Neodiprion lecontei: one gene and its partner. The protein of the gene in region 2 binds, or shares a complex with, the protein of the main gene of each other region. Links are inferred from orthologs where the notes say so. Each region holds a gene or a part of one and is shown on either strand. Other genes may lie near its edges.

Region 1 (5,184 bases), on a different chromosome or scaffold from region 2:
GCTATTATCCGCTAGACAGCGGGGCACGCTATAGTTCAGAATCACTTGAATTTTTGCTCATCCTCCGAGTACTGATGATTTTGTCAAATGTCTTACTGAAGTTAATAGATAGTTAATCGTTTTGCAGTGAAACAACGAAATCGCGAAGTATGAAAATTAATTCTTCGTGGTTTGTTATTGTCGCTGTCCACTATTAAGTAAGATTTATAAATTTTTCAGGTAACCGAACCGGACATTTTTACGAGATTCGATCTAATGACTTATTTTGCGTAAATTGTCAAATCCGTCATTGTAAATCGAAGATTAAGAACCTGTTGATATCAAGTACTCAATGTAGCAATGTAATGCTTAAGGTGGATGCCACAATTATTGAGCTTTCACTTTTCGAATATTATACATTCAATATTACTGCTGAAAGTTGTCACGTTTCGAAAGAATAGAAAATTGATAATTTTTAATTTTCCGTCAAATTAAAATATTGTATTCGAAAAGGGTCAGTAGTTGAGAAATCTATTTAAGATCTATTTTAAGTGATTTAAGCAATAGTTTTTACTCTTTTTAAAATCAAGGAAACATTATATTAAGGCAAATAAATTATTGAATTTATTTGGATTTATGTACAGAGCTAACATAAAAAAATATGACTCGGTAAACCATGCTGCAAAGGTAGTGCTTTATCAAGTTATTACCATTTTTTTCACCAAATCATCATTATCATACAATGGAATGATATGTACATCAGAGAAATTATATGGAAACTGCTCGTCTTGGTTCTTAGTCAAAATACGACCAATTATAAAATACACTTCTTATAAATCAATGAATTTTATTGAAGACGAATTTGGGGTGATTGGTTGACGTATCTCTGCAATGAATTTTTACAAGTACCAATCAGTCAATAATCCTATATATCTATATGTTTGTGCACACGCACAAGTTTTATACAAAATCCTGTGTATAAAAATCTTTCATAGAAATTTGATTGAAAGATTTCAGTTGAGCATTGTTTGCAAGAAGCCCAGAATATAGCTTCCCAAATCTTCGTCTTGATTCGTCCACGAAACATACACGCTCTTGGATTCATCTTCACCTCCTTCGACTTTAACCAATACTGATTCTACTGATATCGCACCATCAGTGAGTTGTACCGTCCATCCTACTAATCTTTCCGTTAATGGTTGCAAAAGCTTGAGCGTTGTCGCGTGGGCAGGACCTGGATCCCTTATTTGTACTGTAGACGTGAATCTTACTACATGCCTTGTGATTCCTGCTGCCCTGGCAACCTGGAAATCAATTTGAATGTGATTCAAAGTTACTATTGATTTTCGCCCACTTTGTTGAGGTTGAAAATGTGCAACCATTTATATTACACATTTTGAAAAATGTTTGAAAACTGTATTCAAATCATGACTGATGTAATGCATCATAAAGGAAAATATAAAAATTCCTTGTGAGATGACTTATGATGGATATCAAAGTGTATTACCTCGTCAGCATCAACTAGACAAACGCCGTCTTCCCTCAGCATTAACACGCTATGTAGGAGCCTTCTTCTTTTTGGATCTGGAGGCAGAGCAGAGTATCTCTTTGCCTCAGCTTTCAGAAGGGCTAGCGAGGCATCGACGGGAACTTTGGCAGTAGTGTAAATAACGCACGTTTCTCCATTGGCTGGATTGTAGCAGCTGGTACCAAACTCCTGCCTAATTTTCTCCTTCAGAAATTCCATTTTTGCAGCCTCACCATGAACGAGCATTACGTTCTTAGGTTCGCAATATTGAATCAGCTGCATGATGCCTTTCGCATCAGCGTGAGCTGAGAATGACATATATTCCACAGCCATTTTGACCTCGACGATCTGCCGGTTTTCAAACTCGATACGTTTAGTGCCATTTAGAACTTTGTGGCCGACAGTTCCCTGGACGCAGAACCCCGGCATGATGACCATATTGGCTTCGTTGGGTGCCCACTTTTTGAAAATCTGCAACGACAGTCCAGCATGCAGCATCCCAGGAGTAGCGAAGACCACCATGGCGCCAGGATTATCGATGTAGGACTTGTCAAAGGGCTTTATGTGCTTGAAATCGAACATGTTCCTCTGAACAAACGTCTTTTTTATCTTCTGGTTGGTCCATGTAATGAACATCTTGTAGTAATTGTTGGCCTTCTCCGTCAGACCAAGGGCGAAGTACACAGGCACCTTCAAGTTCATCCTCTCCCAGTAAGTTTCTAATAGTATGCAGAGCTCCTGGGCGCGACCAAGAGCAAATACTGGTATTAAAACCTTGCCGCCTCTGTCTATGCACTCGTGCACCTTTTTCAAGAAGTCTCTTTCTCTGCATCGTTTCGAATCTCGGATGGTGGTGGCATACGTTGATTCCGATATAAGCAGATCTGGCCTGCATTTGTCGATCCAGGCGGCTCCTAGATGCCGATCCGGAGTCATGTTGTAGTCACCAGTGTAGACAATGGACTGCGAACCTACTCGAACCCAGAACATCGCAGCGCCCAGCACATGCCCTGCATAGTAAGCCTTTATCTCCAGTTCAGGGTCAACCATGACTGACTGGTGCAGCGTAACAGCGACTACCTTCTTCATGCAGTCCTTGATCATTTGGGAGGTGAAGAAGTTGCTCTCACCCTTTCGCTCCACTGCTACCTTGCGCATATCCTCTAAGAGAATTGGGGCGATCGCCTTGGTCGGGTGAGTCATGTAAATCGGACCTGTGTAGCCCACCATTTCTGTGAAATAGGGTAGCGCCCCACAGTGATCCAGGTGAAAGTGCGAGATGATGACACAGTCTATGTAGTTAGTGGCTGGTCCTTCAGGCACTATGTATGAGAAGTCCGGGAACCTTCTCTCGTCGTTGAATCCCATATGCATACCGCAGTCCAGCATTATATTTTTACCTCCCATGGTAACCAGAATACAACTCCTGCCCACATCTTGGCCTGCGCCAAGAGGCGTTACTTTGATATCAGGCATTATTTGTGATTATTAAATCGTGTCTGTGGATTTGAGTAAATTTCTAGATAGAAAAGGTCGGAATTGCGAATATTTAATAATTTTCTTTAAGTACGAACGTGTTGTGTTTACATCGCGATGCCGTTACTAACCTCCAATTTTATTTTCGTTGATTCACTTTGTTTGGTGTATATTAATTATTTATAGGCTTTAGCCATATTAGTTTAGATAATAGACATATTTTGGAGGTCAAGTAACATGATAAGTAAAGAGATCTTCATAAGATAAGATTAGGTTAGGTTAGGTTAGGATTATCGTGCAACTACGAGATGACTACATATGGGTAAATCACCACCAGAGTGATACTCACCGTTGACTGAAGAATGTAAAGACAGTTTCCCTATGGGCTTTGGTACGACAACCGAAAATCGTTGTGCGCTTGCGCCTCCTGAAATGTTCCAATAGAGGTTTCTCTCTGCCAATGGTAGAGTTGAGAACTTATTGCAGAACATCAGGGGGTTACCGATTTCGACATGATTGCTGGTTGCATTTACCCCATTCGCCTTCCGAGTAACACAGTCTTCGCAATGGTAAGTCCAAGCCAGTATTTGGCCTGTGTATACTTACCAGCTTGTCGGCGATTCAGGAAATTAATAATGAGAACAAATTTCTTCCAAAATTCATCGCAAAACAGTGATTTAATTAAAGTATAGGTACCCGAGAGGAGAATGTATACATGGATCACAAATAATAATAGATCAGATGTAATAATGATGCAGAGACCAAAAAGTATATATGTATATGCGGTCCACGTACGATACTAATATAAATGATCCATTTACGATTAATACGTGATGCATACTATAAATTTTATAATTTTCTAGAAGACTAGATAAACTAGATTATCTACAATAATCGGGTATAATACGAAAATAGAAGACTTATTCATTTCGAAATGGGATTCTATTCGACAAGCGCTCGATGTATTCCATAACATTATTATTCACAATTATTTCAACAACTTTTCATTTGCTCTCTCGATCTTGTATTTTCGTAGGTATAGAATAGAAACGCCGTTCTAGCTAGTCGCAAGTGAAGTATCTACGTTGGGTAGAGAAGCACAATTGTTTTTCGAAAAGTGTTCATATGGAATAAAATTCGGAGTAACTGTAATACATCACGAATGCGTTAATTTTGGTCGAGGTGAAATGGATGCTCCGTATATTAGGCAGTATTTAACGCAGTGTCCTGATTTAAAGACCTGAAAAGGTGATTGTCGGCGATTTTTTTTTCTTCTTTTGATGGGGAGAGATAGAACGAAGCTTCTTAAAACTTCGAGTGTATTTTAACACACGTTTGAAAGGTACAAGCAAAAATTTTTATCTTCCAACTGTCGCAGAATGACAGCGTTATTAGCTGACCCGTTAACTGGAGAACATATCCTCAGTCAACGGCTGACCATCGAAGGGCCTAGCCGCTTGAGTCTGGAATCGGCAGGAAAGATAAAGTGCGTATTTCTTGTCTGAAATGTAAAATCAAAAATCGTACATCATATCATATCATCGTACATCATACATCATACATCACCATACATCATGCATAGTATTGAAGTTCGAAACCAAAGTTTGGATGTTCGGACGTTCAGAAAGTGATGCAACCGAAAATTTTGTTTCTCTCGACGTCATCGATATAGAATCAGCTAACCGAATTCCTCAGTCTGTAAACAACCGCGCGGTAGAGCGGACGTATGAGAATCGCGCTCCGCAGATTTCGAGTAACTGGTTCTCTACCTCCTGAATCCTGCGCTCCGGGTCCACTTTCTGGTGCAACTCGAGCTCCAGGACAAGCGCTCCGTAATTTCTTTGCTCCAGGTCCGCTACCTGGTGAAACACGACTTTCAGGACACGCGTTCCGTAGTTTTTGCGCTCAAGGTCCACTACCTGCAGAAACTCGACTTCCAGAACAAGCGTTCCGTAGTTTTGGCTGTCCAGGTACTTGACCTGATGACTTTTGACCTTCCGGACTAATTTTTGAGTTTACAAGTTTTATTATTCAAAACGTCATGTTTTGTACTATCAAAGCAATAGCTAATAAAATTGCAATCATTTTTTATAATTTTCTCATAAATTTCTTGGTGAAATGTGCCGGTAAAAAAATTATATTAATCCTTATACAATATTTTTGATGTCTTACAATACTGAGAACATTTATCAGTATTCGAG
Region 2 (5,275 bases):
TGGACGAAAATCTTAGGAAACGTACTTACAAAAATCTATTTTTATCGATTTTGGAGATAACCATTAGCGATATTTTTTTTAAGGGATCACCGTAGATTTCTATAGTGAATAAACTCAACCCAAAAACATTAGGATCAGATCTAAAACACAAGAGTTTGAGCACCTTGAACGTCTTAATCATGAAACCGTTTTTGCAAATTGTTGATATGCCAGTTTGTGCAATTCAAATCGGCCCGGAATCATTTCAATTACGTAGTAGATACCGTTATTGGTGCAACCAACACTGCTGGAGATTTTCTAAACGTTTTTTCTCTGCTCCCAACTTTTAATTCAGTCCCATGGACTACAAATAGATTGATATTCACCAGTTTCTGATCGTAACCGACCATCTGGATATGGGCAAGGCTAGAGTTGACAGCGGCCATAGAGTAGAGGTGCTTCCAAGACTTGGGTTTCATGGCATCGGCGAGTGGCGGAGGTAGAACATGGAGCATTTCTTTCCAGTGTTTGGCCAGCATAGCCTTAGGTGTCTGCTCGATGAATTCAACCAGCTCCTCCATGAAGAATCTACCGATTTGCAGGGTCGGTTCCGTCGCATAAACTATACCTTTGAACCCCGTACCTTCTGTTATGAACGGCAGTGCGAGCATGCAAGTGTAGTTCGATATCAGTATCGCATCAATCTCAGAAAAATCCGTGATCTTCTCTAACGGTGGACAAAACTCTGGCGTTGAATCAACGAATACTCTTCCACAGTTCTCTTTCAGCTCCTGGCAATGTGTTCAAATACCAGTTTCATTAATGCAATTTTTGCATCTGGGTCTAGAATTTTCAAACGATTCTTCTGACATTTCGATTAATTCTTCTCCCTGTTTATCGATTCACTCATATTTCAATTCAGTTTGACGATTAATCGACTAACCGAAATTTTCAATGAATTGGTTTTTTAATAAAATGATTCATCGGTATTCTTAATTAATTGATTTTCAGATTAGTCGATTCATCAATGTTTTTGATTGACCAGTTTTTCGATTAACGGAATCATCGATGTTCTCACTCAATCGATTGTTTCAATTAATCGATTCATCGGTATCCTTGATAAATCTGCAGTATTTTGGGTAATTGATTATTTCATACTTTTAATTTGATGTTACGAGTACTCGAACAACCTTTCACCTTGGCTCATTTGTTTCTCGATAGTTATCAATTCTTCTGATAACAAGTGTTCAGAAATTTACAAATTTTCTCTTTGTGAAAAATGATAGCATTACTCATCAAATAATAGAACCAAGGAAACTTATTGAAAGGTGGAAAAATCGGAATTCAGTTTCAACAGTTTCAACATGAGATTGAAGAGCGTCACATAGCTCTAACAAAACGTAGTATCGATAAACAACACACTTTTAATTACGACAACACAAACATCCTTTGTGAAGAACACAATTATTATAGAAGACTGTTATTAGAAGACTGACTAGAAATGTGCAACATTGTAGGTCACACCAATTCTGTTAATCTTAGACAAGATGTTGAGCATTTAAGTAATATTTACAAACCTTTAATCTCCGCCCACACAACAAATATTGTTTAACCTTTACTACATACAAAAAAAATTTTTTTTGTCCACATTACACAGTCCTTTCCTTTTTCTGTATAATTGTTTATAATAGGTTCACCTTCACTCTGGATTATATTTGTTTTCTCCCATCAGTCGTTATTCACCTGTTGACTCAATCGGTTCAACCAACAATAATTTTTTGTTAGACATGTGGAACTTAATTATAAAGAGCCTACCTCCACTTCTTTGACACTTGCGAATTAATTTTATGGCTAAAAAGACCTTCTTTAAAAACCTTTTAACACAATGACATACTGACTGTGAAGAAACATAGTTCTTTCATCTTTTTAACTAATGACTTCCAACTATTAACTCCCACATGTAAAATAACTTGAAGATTGACATTGACTACCGTCACTCAAAAGAACACTGTCTCCACCAATTGTAATTGTGAATTCGACTACATCTTAGTCCACTTACTTAATTCAAAAAAAAAAAAAGGTAAATAACACTTAAAGACATTCTTATTTCAATTAATCAAAAGGTTCTTACTAATCAATAATATATAATAGCTCTAAGAGTATTACATCTACAATATTTAAGTCTGATTACTTCTAGTACTATTATTTATTTTATAAAAAATCTTTTTGTTGTTCTTGACAGTTAAAAAAATAAATCGTTCTGAGGAGGGCCCATATCCGGGTCGAAACGTTAACTAAAAATACGTTTACTTAATTGACCGATCACCAAGATTCTATAATAGATTACATACGAGGTCGAGAATTCTTATTCATCAGTCTATAATAGTAATTGAAAATCGAGACAGTGACATAATGTAGGTCTTACCCCTTCAATTTGCCAATCCTGATTGTTATCCCTGGGAACCCAACTGGAAAGGGAGTTGAACTTGGCACTAGGCACCATGGGCATCGGCATGAAATTCAAAATTGACTGCATGTTCAGACCACAGTCCAACATTAGCGTTATGCCTTTGAAGCTCAAGACCAGGCATGGCTTTGTCGGCTCGCTGGACAGGCAGTACTGGAATAATAATGAAATAAATAAAATTGAAATAAATGTAGAAAGAAAAACATATGATGAATACTTAGTAGTTGTATCGATTTGTCAAGAAAATATAAGAACAAAAAGGTATTTATGATTATCTGGTGAAATTTGTTTCTGAAAAACCATTTTATTTGTCATAATTGAATTTCTGAAATTTATTATGTATTTTATTTATCGAAATCATATCTTTTTACGTGATACATAATTCAATAATTGGATTTTTGTAAGTTGATGGGGCTAGGTCAGGTTATGTTCAATTAGAAGCTTAGAAAGCCGTTCGAAGATTGAAATTCTATGCCAATGGCATATTTATTCTCAAGGAAATATAACGCAATTACAATCATTCTTACCAGCTTCATTTGAATGATTTGAATTGACGATATCGTAATTTTCTCCCAGTGTTTTTTCAATTTTTCTAACCCAAAACACAATCTTGCTCTCAAAACAAGGCATAATCTTTCCGAATCCTCGGTATTACTCGGCCACACGGTGCAAGCATGGTGCAGAAGACTAGCTAGAGAGCATGAAACCTAATTCGAGTGGTAGGGAAGATTCTCCGCTTGAAGCTTTCTGATTGGCACACGTGCACGGTCTCATTGAAATGAGACTTCGTTTCCAGACAGCTGTTGACTGAGGATATCAGACAGGTTCCAGGGTAGATCAAGAGTTACAGTCAAAAACCGAAAATTTCCTTGGCAATTTCTCTGCTGCTGGTCCTACGCTCTTTTTAGTGGGTTTTCTGTGTTCTGGGGGTCCAATTAGTCAAAAAAGGGTCATACAAATTGATTCGGAGACTAAAGATTTTTTGCTAAAAAATAGATTAACCTTGTATTTTTTCAGCTCGTTTTGGCGGTGTTTTAAACATGCTGGGCAACTAACTACTAGCGCCACTAGTGGTGGAAATTGGGGGCAGAATTGAGGGACACTTTGCGAACCACATTTAGCACCGTGTGTCAGCACCGTATTCCATCAAATTCTGTCGTATTTCAAAAGACGCTAGAATTGACTAGTGTAGCTAAAGTGAACCCGGCGCACTGGTCGGACGAGATCTGCCGCTCGCTCCGGTTTGGCGGATCATCTAGCGTTCAGCAGTCGCTCGGTGACGTCAAAGTTCTAGGAATTGCGAATGCCTGATTCTCTTATCCCTTTCTGAATTACACTCCTAGGTGATCATTATTCATCCATTTCATGCGAGAGTGAGTTCGATAGCGTTGTACTTATGAGAATTTATTTGTTTGATTACAAAATAATTGTAACTGTGTGTTCCTGAGTAGGGGGAAGGGGGTCACGCGATCCGCTATTTCGGATCAAACGTACAAAAATTTGTTTTTTTTTTTAAATAACTTTTTGTTGCAGGATCAACCGCTTAGGAATTATTATAACAAGACCAATTTTTTGCAACTAATCCAGGATGGCGAATCGCACGGACCCTTCTCCTCAAAGGCCGAAAATACATACACGACAATCACTACTATCCCACCATTTGTAGTGCAATGGTTTGTTTTACTCCCCATCAACTGGACTACATTTGAACATAATTAGAATGTCAGGAATAAAATATAAGTACATTACATACAAAACCGTAAATTTATATAAATATTGAATTTGTAAAGACTTATTATTTGCAATAATTCTAATCGAAGACTATACTAGAATTGATTAAGACCGCACTTACCTTGCTGTATTTCGTATTCATCCAATTCTGCAGCACGATGCAATTCCCACTTTTGCATTTTCTTATTCTCATCGATGGTATGTCCGTTTTTTTTTTTTGAAAATCAACCGTTCAACCAATTTTCATTTATAATATATAATTAAGCAAATCAAGATTTCATTTCCAAGAAAGCCCTCCATTTGAAACCTCAACTCTAGAAAATATATATTCAATCATCTCCTACATCAATTTGTTGAGCGAAATAAGTTCTTTATCAACTACCACGGAAATTGATTAAATACTCACTTAGCAAAATTAGGCTAAAATAATAAGAATAAGTACATTTAAATATAAATAAAATTATGCATCGTGATTCTCGCGTTGAGAAAAATAAAATCATTAATTGCGACACAACGTACAAAGTTTAGTTAAAAAAAAAAAAAAAATTCAAAATAATAACATTATTTTCTCGAATATCGCACGATATAAGATTTTATTTCCGTAAATAATTAGATAGAAAATATAATTAAGCCGAGCTAAATAATTAATAAGTTTTTCGTTTCTAGTTTTGTTTGTTGTGAAAACAGGAGGAGGGGTGAAGTTTCTGTTGCTATATAGTATTATTAATAATAATAATAATAGTTATTATAGGTAGTAAATAATTACGTTATGCAAGTCGGAATAATAAAGTTGCCAATGAGACGGTTTTTTTTCATCAACTATTTCGAGAAGTTTGACAATATTTGTTTTTCTTGTCATTAAAATTCAATGATATTGTTGTTTGTAATATTTCACGTGGTGGTAGAAGATATATCGTCGTCGTCGTTGCTGCTTGATTAAATTAAAATCTTTTTTTTTTATTTTCAATTTTCACCGTACCAATGTAATCAATCATTCAATTAACCAGATGGTTTCTCGTTACAAATAAAAATAAAAACAAAGAAAAAGAAAAGAAACACAAATTTAATCAGCACTTGTAGTTTGTTCAATTAGTTACC

The links.
Region 1: the proteins of integrator complex subunit 9 (region 2) and integrator complex subunit 11 are in contact, whole or in part, in a cryo-EM structure (PDB 7SN8), measured with the Drosophila melanogaster proteins. The link is inferred for Neodiprion lecontei from reciprocal best matches to the Drosophila melanogaster genes IntS9 and IntS11. Residues at the interface, in NP_648838.3 of Drosophila melanogaster: Glu128, Tyr198, Asp199, Glu200, Lys201, His230, Asp333, Ser334, Ala337, Tyr338, Asn340, Ile341, Glu344, Gln351, Val354, Tyr355, Leu356, Pro357, Asp358, Asp359, Pro360, Arg509, Lys510, Leu511, Asp512, Arg513, Ile514, Tyr515, Ile516, Ser518; in NP_651721.1 of Drosophila melanogaster: His94, Lys97, Ala98, Pro135, Thr137, His139, Gln140, Ser141, Glu149, Lys151, Lys274, Thr277, Tyr278, Lys280, Met281, Phe282, Ile283, Thr284, Trp285, Phe294, Val295, His296, Val450, Lys451, Ile452, Pro453, Val454, Asp455, Ala456, Ser457.

What each region holds. Positions count from the first base shown.
Region 1 is NC_060266.1:4,405,133-4,410,316, reverse strand, and holds integrator complex subunit 11, read right to left. Parts: upstream 3,324-5,184; 5' UTR 3,115-3,323; exon of another isoform or gene 3,007-3,114; 5' UTR 2,984-3,006; coding exon 1,487-2,983; intron 1,284-1,486; coding exon 993-1,283; 3' UTR 810-992; downstream 1-809. UniProt on the Drosophila melanogaster protein: RNA endonuclease component of the integrator complex, a multiprotein complex that terminates RNA polymerase II (Pol II) transcription in the promoter-proximal region of genes.
Region 2 is NC_060264.1:21,327,920-21,333,194, forward strand, and holds the start of integrator complex subunit 9, read right to left. Parts: upstream 3,106-5,275; 5' UTR 2,983-3,105; coding exon 2,974-2,982; intron 2,708-2,973; exon of another isoform or gene 2,600-2,707; coding exon 2,405-2,599; intron 2,060-2,404; exon of another isoform or gene 2,025-2,059; intron 771-2,024; coding exon 366-770; intron 1-365. UniProt on the Drosophila melanogaster protein: Component of the integrator complex, a multiprotein complex that terminates RNA polymerase II (Pol II) transcription in the promoter-proximal region of genes.